Linked DNA regions of Lepisosteus oculatus. The protein of the gene in region 3 interacts with the protein of the main gene of each other region in a pairwise test. Links are inferred from orthologs where the notes say so. Each region holds a gene or a part of one and is shown on either strand. Other genes may lie near its edges.

Region 1 (3,751 bases), on a different chromosome or scaffold from region 3:
CATCCCGTCATTTACAGAATGGAGTTTGATGGGGCTGGTTCCGTAAAACCAGCTTTTTGTTAGCATCCGTCTTCCAAAAATCAACAGCACGTTTCACTAAGTGCTATTTTTATGAAATGAGGGAAATACGATTATTGTTACAGGACTTTGGGCAGGAGATAACAGGAAATTTGAAATTCGCCGTGCCTGTAACTTCAGAAGAATGACGCTGAGGTCTAAGAGACTTGCCAAATACTTATTACAGCATGTATCGAGGGGTTCCTAGATACTGCACCATCAGCCCGTATACTGTATGTGTAAGCACGCAGTGTTTCTACAGCATCTGTGCGTGAGAGGGAGACACTCAGTGACTTAAACACTGAGTAAAAAACGCAATTTAATGATTATGCATTTACCCATTATGGAGTAGACGTCCCGTCCCGTAGTCTCCCCAACGGGCGGAGTCATTTGTTTTTACAAAAAACACAAGTCCACAAAAATAACAGAAGCATAGGGGTAACGTCATTACCACACTCCCGCAGTTTGGCTTCATTTACATCGTAAGGCTTTTCTGCTGTCACCGTGCTTTTGTTCCAAGCTATTTTATTGTCTTCACTACTGCAGTACTAATATAACTGCTGCACTTCACGATCCACCCACTTTTCTAAAGCTGCAACTTCAACATAATGGGTTGAATCGCCCACAGATAAGAAGCGCATTGTGAAAATCTCTAAGAATACAGCGTGACTATCAGACAAATTAAGAGTTATAATAAACGATTAAAATCTCTTACCTATACCCTTGGTCCTATTTTCTGTTCTCCTATTAGGATGCGCCAGGCTTTTTCTGCATCAGCACCAAGAACAACAGGAACTCCCACCTGCTTAGGGACCGTCTGTAAACTCAATAGCAGAGTCGAAGTAAGGGATCACCCACAAGAGCCCAGTTTTCAAAATGCGACGCCGCAGTTACGAGGCGACTCCTCAAATCATTCGCCGTATTTAGAACAGGAACTCTGTTATTCATTTCTGGAATTTCAGTGAGCTCTAATATCTCAAGTGGGAATTCGAATAACAACTGATATATAGTTATAAACATTTTACATCGTGACCGAGGATTTTAAAAACACCGTTGCAATAGTTGTACGAAAGCAATAGCAATTCCATCATTTAATATATTCTTATTGCAGACATACTGGATACATCACTGGAAACACAGAGGCTGGTCATTAACTCGACTCAACGTGTTCGGCAGGTAAAGGTAAGAGTGACTAATTTTAAAATAAATGGGTTGAGCTGTGATGCTGGGATTCTGGCATAGACTTCACAAATAAAGCCTGACACCTGCTGGCCGAAATGTAATTTCCTGCAGTATCCGACAGAGATGGAGAGGCGGACAAGAGCCGTACCCAAGACTCGTATGGTCATTTATTAAATAATTTGGACAAAATCAATAAATAGAAAAAAAAATAAATCTCTCATATTAAACGATCTTAAAGGGGAAATATTTGAACAAGATCGCATTATTTGAAGGATTGAGATCAAATCTGGTAAAAACGATCATCTTACAGTGAATAAAACGGGGGGGATAATGACGTAGGCTTCACAGCAGGCTTTGATCGGGGTTTCCTGTACCTCGTAGATTCACTTTGAGTTGCCTAGTACTGGAGCCGACCAAGGCGATCAAGACTCCAGTTAAGAGTCCAGCGTCCAGACCAGCAGGCGGTGCTAGACATTTCGCCGACAGCGCCGTTGAGACAGAGAGGAAAAGCTTGGGTCTTCTTGACGCCACGTAATCTCTTTGTGTTGAATGAGCTCGCTGCTCGTCAGTGTCGCCGAGCCCTGGTGCTGAAAGGACAGCTCCGCCGCACAGAAGCCGACTGAAGGTGAAGGTCCTTTCTAAAGTTTCGGGTTAGACTCTATTTTGAAGCGAGATGCTCGTTCGGCATTCCCCTCGTGAGCTTCTGTATGTCAAATGTTGCACATTACGGTGTTTCGTTATTACTGATGTACATATGCGCTGCGGTAACCTTGCACAACACGAAACCGGCGTTAGAAAGAAGATATCTTTTTAAAAACATAGAGAAATAGAGTCCGTGCTCTATTTCTGGCTAACGGCTATGGAAACAATTAAGACTGAGATGGAGTAAACAGCAGTAATGGACAAAACGCATTCGGTTGCTTTCAGTACAATTGTTAATTAAACGTACGGTATGTACAGTATAAGCAGCTAATTGCTTAAATAAGGAGTAACTCTTATTTATATTCTAGAGACAATTTTCCCACTTGATGCGGGGTATCCGTTTATTACAACAAAACATTTTATTGCCGAAAAAGGAATTTAATTTTTAATGAACGCTTGTGCAGTATGTTTATGAGATATGTGATTTCTGGGTCTGCCAATGATCTTGGAGTCACTGTTTTTGCTTTGATAATTAAAACAATCGAAAAATGACCACTCTACGGCTTCACCTGACATATATTTTCTTTCTCTCCAGATATTAATGCGAATATGTTCCTTCTGAATTAAATTGGTTCAAAACATGTCTGCACGCTGGGCTGAGTTTTCTTTACAAGCATCATTGTCGTGACTACTTGAAATCATCCGTTTAGTGTATCAGATACTTCATTTAAACAACACATTTTTACCCTTTAATATACACAATATTTAATTGTAGAAAAGAAATGTTAATTAACACACATTTAAATATATCATGCAGAGTTATAACATATCTACTTCTTACTGGAAACACCTTTCAGGGCTATGTAGTCACTGTAACCCTCTAGTATTTATGGTTAATGCTCGTTTCAGTAATCCGTTACCAGTGCGATAAAATTGTATAATAGCAGCTTTGACTTCATATAAGTGTTACGTACATACGTTTAGATGTACCGATTAATACTGTTAAGTCCTAATTACTGTACACATTCCCTAGATTATCTATCACACTAGATACCTTGTACAGTGCCTGCCTACAAAGCAAAATGCAACTGTTCCACAAATACCATTGATATCACTTTGTCTGAAAAAACAAACAAACAAACAGTGCTGCACCTACGGGGCTTTGCAATAAGCAAACTCTTTACACTCTTAGACATTCGTATATTTCTATCTGAAAGTCTGGACTTTCAGAGAGAGAAGGACAATAATTGGGAGGTCACTGCATGGTCTGTCACACTAGGCACTTCAAGACAAAGCATCTCTGATGCCCACATTCAAAAATCACAATGGGGTCTCAATGTCTGACACAATGCCCGTATATTTCTAAGACGCGTTATTTGAGGAGGTTTTTCAAGTAGGTACACCCGAAGAAGGCTCCACAGTCGAGACGTTGTGTTTCCTTTCTTCGCTTTTCAGCAGGGAATAAACCTGGACTCGTTCCTTATTTTGAGGAGGTTCACCGGTGTATGCCTTAATTACTAGCGCCACGTCTTTATTTTTTCCCCCGGTAGGAATGTATTTCAAGATGCTGAAACTGAAGCTCCTCAATACCATCGCTCCTGCCTACTTCTTCACAGCCACGGTGGTCACGTTCGCCCTGCACTTTTATTTCTTCATACCGACCATTTTTGACAGACCCGGGGCCCGCCCCAGCGCATCCACGCTGCTCCACGCCGCCATCTTCCTCTTCCTAATGCTGAACGCGCTGGGCAACTACGTCATGACCATCCGCTATCCGGCAGAAAGCGCCAACGAGAGCGTGGTGCCCGTGTGTTCGCCCGACTGCCCGGATCGGGTGGATGCCCATTACCTCCTCAACGATCGACACTTT
Region 2 (3,751 bases), on a different chromosome or scaffold from region 3:
GAGAGACGCGCGGAGGGTCTGTACAGTACCGGAGCGCGCTGTGGTTCGTAGCCCCTTCCCTGAAACTCCTTCACACACAGACTCCCAGCCTGCTTCTGCGGGACAGCCTCTCCTGAACGGCTTCCGGTCTTCACCCCCTCTGCTTCTGCTGTATTCAGAGCCCACCATAAACTCCTATAATAATAATAATAATAATATAATTATTATGGCCAGCAGCCATATCACCCTGCAACTCACAACTGGCAACCCACTGAAGCTAAGCAGGTGTGAGCCTGGTCAGTACCTGGATGGGAGACCTCCTGGGAAAAAGGTTGCTGCTGGAAGAGGTGTTAGTGGGGCCAGCAGGGGGCGCTCACCCTGTGGTCCATGTGGGTCCTAATGCCCCAGTATAGTGACGGGGACACTATACTGTAAACAGGCGCCGTCCTTCGGATGAGACGTAAAACCGAGGTCCTGACTCTCTGTGGTCATTAAAAATCCCAGGGCGCTTCTCGAAAAGAGTAGGGGTGTAACCCCGGGGTCCTGGCCAAATTTCCAATTGGCCCTTACTAATCATGGCCTCCTAATAATCCCCCTCTATGAATTGGCTTCATTACTCTGCTCTCCTCCCCACTGATAGCTGGTGTGTGGTGAGCGTTCTGGCGCACTATGGCTGCCGTCGCATCATCCAGGTGGATGCTGCACATTGGTGGTGGTGGAGGGGAGTCCCCATTACCTGTAAAGCGCTTTGAGTGGAGTGTCCAGAAAAGCGCTATATAAGTGTAAGACATTATAATAATAATAATAATAATTGCTTACACTTATATAGCGCTTTTCTGGACACTCCACTCAAAGCGCTTTACAGGTCATGGGGATCCCCTGGATGATGAATCATGCTGTTGTCGTTCTGTGAAGCCTCCTTTGAAAGGCGCTGTATAGAATCAAGTGCTTGATGACGTGGGGAGGGGTGCCCACTCGGACAAGGCCGGAAACGCCGCGTCTTGAGCGTTTTAAACCCGGTTTCCGGGTCCTTTCGCCCCCAGAGACAGCCGTCGCGTTCGTCAGAGTTGTGTGTGGACGGGGGAGATTAGCGAGGGAGATTAATCCCGTCGGGAACAAGAGCTGGAAAACGTTTCCCGTGAGTCCCCCCGCAGCCAGAGCAAGTTCAAGTTCATTGGCATGATACTCATATGGCATAACGAAATGCTATTGAGCAAGAAAATAATCCGGCGCCGCCCAACGTGGGGCTCGAACCCACGACCCTGAGATTAAGAGTCTCATGCTCTACCGACTGAGCTAGCCGGGCCGCTCCGGTCCCGAACTCGCTCACGGATCTCGGCAAAGCCTCGCAGGGCCCTCTGGTCCTGACAGCGGCGAGGGCCCGGCTCGTTTAAAATCTTATTTTAAAAGCCCGCTTTATGGATGCAGAGAGACTGTGATTCGGGTTTTTTTTTTCCTGTGTCTCGCCGCTGGGCGGAAACACAGGCGCAAGGGCTCCCCCTGGCGGCCGCCGGGCCTCACTGCAGCGCCGCTCTGGGCGGAAGGGGCTGGGCGAGACACACAGAGAGAGAGAGGAGGTTCCTTTCTTCTTGTGCGTGCGTGAGCGTGTGTGTGTGTCTCCTCTCTCTCTGACGCCCATGGCCGCCGCCGCCGTCACCCTCCCCAGCCTGTGCCTGGCCGCCCTCACCCTCCTCAACTTCGTCTTCGTCTTCGGCACCGGCGCCGAGTTCGTGCGCTTCCTGTCGTTCCGGGCGATTTATCGCAACCTGACGGGCGGCGCCCCGGTGTGTGTAGGTGGGTGGGTGTGTATGAACGTTTATCCTTCACTCCCGAGCTGTCTGCGATGAAGAAAAACTCGGGGGTCAGGGGGCTGCGTGCACCAGCCCGGCTAGCTCAGTCGGTAGAGCATGAGACTCTTAATCTCAGGGTCGTGGGTTCGAGCCCCACGTTGGGCGGCGGTGTTTACCTTTTCTGCTCTCGCTGTGCGCCCGTTTTCATACGAGAAATGCATGAGCTGTGATCGCAGCCTGCGCCAGGTCACTGTATGTGTGTGTGTGTGGGTGGTGCACACTTTCACAAATCGCTGCCTTTTTAAAAAATAAATGAAGTAGGGGGGTGATATATCGCTCAGTTTTCCTGCCGTCTTTACGAAGCGATTCGAAGGTGGTCCGCCATTATTCCGTGTTTTGAGATTTTATTCTGGTCGACCGATTAGTTATTCGTAATTAATTGTCAAATAATATTATATACATATATAAAAAAGACAGCTGCCGCAGGATCTATCCATCTGAAATCAATAAAAGCTCTCCTGGAGCTACTCGGATCTTTTACTTGTTTTCTGCTTAAGAGAGGCAGGCAGATGTTTCCCTGTGGTGTAAATACAGTCGGTGTGAAACCTCGTAATAAAAAAGGCTCTCTTCTCTTCCTGCTCTGCTGTTTATCTTCCGCGCAAACGCTGCACACACTGGTGTTTGTGTTTTGCGCGCAGCTCGGTGATCGTGTCACGACACGCTGCATTCATTTAAAAGAACACGTCGCCGGATATTCACACCAGCCCGGCTAGCTCAGTCGGTAGAGCATGAGACTCTTAATCTCAGGGTCGTGGGTTCGAGCCCCACGTTGGGCGGTCTGCTTTTTAACTGAACGACTTAAAAAACGTTTTGCACCATTTAAAGTCACTTGCATGAAGGATGTATCAAATAATTGGAGTTAATGTACTGGAGTGTCCAGTCAGTGTGTGTGTATGAACCCCTCTCTCTCTCAGTGCAGTGTTCATGTACTGGAGTGTCCAGTCAGTGTGTCTGTATGAACCCCTCTCTCTCTCAGTGCAGTGTTCATGTACTGGAGTGTCCAGTCAGTGTGTGTGTATGAACCCCTCTCTCTCTCTCAGTGCAGTGTTCATGTACTGGAGTGTCCAGTCAGTGTGTGTGTATGAACCCCTCTCTCTCTCAGTGCAGTGTTCATGTCCTGGAGTGTCCAGTCAGTGTGTCAGTGTGAACCCCTCTCTCTCTCAGTGCAGTGTTCATGTCCTGGAGTGTCCAGTCAGTGTGTGTGTATGAACCCCTCTCTCTCTCAGTGCAGTCTTCATGTACTGGAGTGTCCAGTCAGTGTGTGTGTATGAACCCCTCTCTCTCTCAGTGCAGTGTTCATGTACTGGAGTGTCCAGTCAGTGTGTGTGTCTGAACCCCTCTCTCTCTCAGTGCAGTGTTCATGTACTGGAGTGTCCAGTCAGTGTGTGTGTCTGAACCCCTCTCTCTCTCAGTGCAGTGTTCATGTCCTGGAGTGTCCAGTCAGTGTGTGTGTATGAACCCCTCTCTCTCTCAGTGCAGTCTTCATGTACTGGAGTGTCCAGTCAGTGTGTGTGTATGAACCCCTCTCTCTCTCAGTGCAGTGTTCATGTACTGGAGTGTCCAGTCAGTGTGTGTGTCTGAACCCCTCTCTCTCTCAGTGCAGTGTTCATGTACTGGAGTGTCCAGTCAGTGTGTGTGTCTGAACCCCTCTCTCTCTCAGTGCAGTGTTCATGTACTGGAGTGTCCAGTCAGTGTGTGTGTGTGAACCCCTCTCTCTCTCAGTGCAGTGTTCATGTCCTGGAGTGTCCAGTCAGTGTGTGTGTATGAACCCCTCTCTCTCTCTCTCTCAGACTCAGTGTCCTGGGGACAGGCCCTGCGTGACCAGGCTGTGGTCAGGGCTCTGTGTGTGGACGGGGGGCTGGTCCTGCTCTTCGCCCTGCAGCACAGCGCCCTCGCCTGGGCTCCGGTGAAGCAGGCCTGCC
Region 3 (3,751 bases):
TTTTTTGTCTTCCTTACACACCGTGGCCTGCGAGTTGGGAGTTGAATAAAATGCAAGTTAGAAGCTTTCTCACTCTCTTGAATTTAGAACTACGGTTTTGTGGTCATACCTCACCTAAACAGATTAGTCAAGCTACTGCCCGTTTTCAATACTTAAGAACATTTAAACCCGTATTGAAATAACTTAAAATGAAGATCTACCGTGCTAGTTATCACCTTACATCTATTATACATCTCGAAACTGGTCGCAGGAGTATTAATTTACATTATCTGTTGAAAAATGAGTTCGCATCCAAGTTCCACAAAAATGTAAGCACAAAGCTGTGCAATCTTTTTGTCCCAAAGCTTGACCTACACTCCTACCCTATGGAAGATTGTATTATTCCGATTTCCCTGTTTAATGTACGTCAGAAGAAAAAAAACTGCACCTACTACACAGATTCCCAGATAAGTTTTGTTCCAGTTGCAGCAGTTCAAGTTCAGCATGGGGCTCGACGAAGCTGGAGGAGACTACTGGCCCCAGCGCAAGCAACCTCCCTGCCAAATCAATCCCCATTTTCAACAAGCCGATGCCGGTGTAACCTTTCCCAGCGCCGGATTTGCCTTCGGGTGCAGTACGTTTCTTGGCAGGTGCGCTGGAGGGTGATTTTCTTTCCGCGTCACGTTGATTTACATTTAAACGCCTGTGGAGGGTCGCCGCCATTGGCGGGCTGCGGTTCGAAACGAGCGCGCCTGCGCAGACGGTGCGGGCCGAGGCCGTGCGGAAGATCCCGGGACTCTCTGTGTGTGTGTGACCGCACGACTGAAAACAGGTGAGGTGAAGGTGAAGACTTCGGATTTATGTCTGCGAAGGGGTTGTGAGAGATAGCTTCTCCGCCGACAGCGTCGCAATGAAACTTTAAAATGAAGTTGTCCACCTCGAAGAATGACCAGGGTTGCAGGCGCTGTGGAAAAGCCCGGTGATCCTTCGGTGTTGCAACTTTGAAACACAGGTTGGAGTGAATCGGATATTTCTGGATAATCACTTGCAATTTTTTAAAAAAATATATATATTATTTTATCCTCCAAGAAACCGCACAAAGACTTTGTATTCCGAGCAGCGGAACCGGTCATTGTTAGTTTTATATCTATATATGGGCGGAGAAGAAATAACGTTTTGGATTTGCGTACTTTTTTAAAAAAATGCTGAAGTAGAGCGATGAGCAAGCCTAAAACTAGATTAATTTAATAAATCAAGGTGCCCGCTAATTTGTGTTTAACATGTATTAGAAAATAACGAAAAGTCAATTGTTGTATATTTCACAATAGCCTGTTGTCTGTAAAAGTCAGAACAAGCTACAATTACCGTTGACGTTCGAGTTTAATCGCTTTCAACTCAAGAAGTGCGTAATTAAAACTTTAAAAAACTCTTTAATTCTCGTCAGACGTTGCTCCTGAACCTTGTCTTGTCAACTAAATCTCACATTTATTCTCGCTTGTATCAGTCTTACCGACAGCGGGTAATGTCTGGGATATTATTCATCTTGAGACCAAGGGTTTTAATGCCTCTGAATCGAGTATCTTTGTGCGGATTTATCCGAAGTCGTGTGAATTTGTGAAAATGTCGTTTCCTTGTGGATGATCAGATTGTAAGAATCGGCACTGTCGTACTCTTAACAACAGACCTGTTAATGACAACTCTCGGTGGTCTTTCATGATAAATTGATGTCTGAATGATATTGCCAATATGACCTCGGGGCAAAAATAGTTCTTACAATGGCTTGTGAATGATAAAGATTCAATTTACATGACGCGATTAAGTGGCATCTTGATGCTGAACACCGAGTCAAGTCTCGTTAAAGAATCAGGGATGACACTGTCTAGCCAGCCTGCTGCGAAATGTCAATAAACTCCCGTAGGAGAGTCGCTGGGAAGAAATATCAGTAGTGCTTGAACAATTTAAACCTGTTGCACCAGCTTCTTAAGAAATGTTGATCACCATTATCTTTTATTGTCCTCGGAGGATACACGACTTTGTCTCTTAGATCTTTATTTCATGTACATATGCATTCCTATAGAAACAGCTGCACAGTAATTCATTAGGCTCTTTGGTTAACTGGTCGTTCAATTTTCCAGGAACGAAAACGTTTTAAAGAACTGTTATCTAACTCAAAACTCACTTTTTTTTTTTACTGGGTACTGTGTCTCATTGCCCTACATCCTATCCTGTGTGTTTCTCTTTAGTTGTTTTTTTCACTTTTAATTGCACTTAACTTATGGCTTGTACTTGGGTTTTGGAAAATTGATCTATATTAATGTATTTGATCATTATTTATAAATAGAAATATCAACTTACTTATACAAAGAATTGTATTGAATTGCGGTGTTTAAAAAAAATACACCCAGACCGGTTTCAGTGGGTAATCACTTTATATTTTTGGTCTTTGTTTCAGTAGTTTGATGATCAGATATTTGTTTTGTGTCACCAAGACTTGCAGTGTCTTGGCAGGCACAGTACAGATCGCTAAAGACCTTTCTTCAGACATGCAGGCATACTGGGTACGCCTTAACGTAGTGCATTTTTTTTTACAGAATAAAAAAGCATGGAAAGTCTGGAGGAGGATCTCACGTGTTCAGTGTGCTACTCGTTGTTCAGTGACCCTCGTGTTCTGCCGTGCTCCCATACCTTTTGTAAAGGCTGTTTGGAAAATGTTCTCCAGGTTTCTGTCAATTTCTCTATCTGGAGGCCGTTGAGAACCCCCCTTAAGTGCCCCCACTGCAGAAATATGGTGGAACTGCCCCCAACAGGGGTTGAAGCCTTGCCAACCAATGTGTCTCTCAGAGCTATCATAGAGAAGTTTCAAAGGGACGACCAGTCCAAACCTCCCTCCTGCCAGGAGCACCCAAAGCAACCACTGAACGTGTACTGTCTCCAAGATCGTCAGCTGATTTGCGGAGTTTGTCTTACCATTGGGCGGCATCGGGGTCATGCCATTGACGACCTGCAGGCAGCCTTCATGAAAGAGCAGGAGGCTCCAGGGACGCTCGTGGAGCAGCTGACTGATAAGCGGTGGGCCGAGGTTTCCTTGTTAGCAGAAAAGCTGGAGCAGCAGAAAGCTGGATGTGAAAACCTCATCAGACAAGACAAAGAATCCGTGGTGCTGTACTTTGAGAAGATTAAACGGACCCTGGCGCAGAAGGAACGGGAGTTCCTGGCTGCTCTTGATGATGCAGGCGCTAAGCTCTCAAGTGAGTATGACCCACTGCTTGAGACGCTTAAGGACATGAAGGAGGAGCAGCTGGAGCTCATGTCGTACAGTGCAGCAGTGGAGGAGGAAGACTCTCCCCTTCTTTTTCTGGAGAAGGTTCATATCTTCCGAGAAAGAGTTGCAGCTCTGAGTAAAGCACCCCTTCCAGTTGTTAAACCCTTGTACATCTATCCAAGGGCTGGGGAATATCTGAAACACAAGTGGTCTGGGATTACTCTTGGGAACCTTGAAAGAGAGGAAATACCACAAATTAACCACTGTCAGGGCCAAGTTATTTCCAGAAATTTCAACAGACTACAAGCTTTGTATGTCAGTAGGTCTGTGTTGGTGTTGCTTTTGCTCTTGGTTTTATTGGGCAGCGCACTGATTGGCGTTCAGCTCAGCCGGTACTCTGATATGTATCAAATTAATGAAATGATTCAAAATTATGCGTGTGAAATAACTGCCCCTTTCTATTCAGGGAAGGATGTGGCTGTTTATTTCCAGTCAGTTTTGGTAGATTTT

Evidence for each region.
Region 1: the proteins of trim59 (region 3) and zdhhc22 interact in binary tests that used the Homo sapiens proteins (3 or more experiments, as listed by UniProt). The link is inferred for Lepisosteus oculatus from reciprocal best matches to the Homo sapiens genes TRIM59 and ZDHHC22.
Region 2: the proteins of trim59 (region 3) and nrm interact in binary tests that used the Homo sapiens proteins (3 or more experiments, as listed by UniProt). The two-hybrid records come from large-scale screens. The link is inferred for Lepisosteus oculatus from reciprocal best matches to the Homo sapiens genes TRIM59 and NRM.

The regions. Positions count from the first base shown.
Region 1 is NC_090703.1:9,774,843-9,778,593, forward strand, and holds the start of zdhhc22 (palmitoyltransferase ZDHHC22), read left to right. Parts: upstream 1-1,001; 5' UTR 1,002-1,239; intron 1,240-1,661; exon of another isoform or gene 1,662-1,864; intron 1,865-3,431; 5' UTR 3,432-3,433; coding exon 3,434-3,751. UniProt on the Homo sapiens protein: Palmitoyltransferase that could catalyze the addition of palmitate onto various protein substrates and be involved in a variety of cellular processes. Catalyzes the palmitoylation of KCNMA1, regulating localization of KCNMA1 to the plasma membrane.
Region 2 is NC_090709.1:40,369,839-40,373,589, reverse strand, and holds the start of nrm (nurim), read left to right. Parts: upstream 1-1,549; 5' UTR 1,550-1,616; coding exon 1,617-1,773; intron 1,774-3,619; coding exon 3,620-3,751.
Region 3 is NC_090708.1:6,005,493-6,009,243, forward strand, and holds the start of trim59 (tripartite motif-containing protein 59), read left to right. Parts: upstream 1-734; 5' UTR 735-811; exon of another isoform or gene 812-991; intron 992-2,570; 5' UTR 2,571-2,581; coding exon 2,582-3,751. UniProt on the Homo sapiens protein: E3 ubiquitin ligase involved in different processes such as development and immune response. Serves as a negative regulator for innate immune signaling pathways by suppressing RLR-induced activation of IRF3/7 and NF-kappa-B via interaction with adapter ECSIT.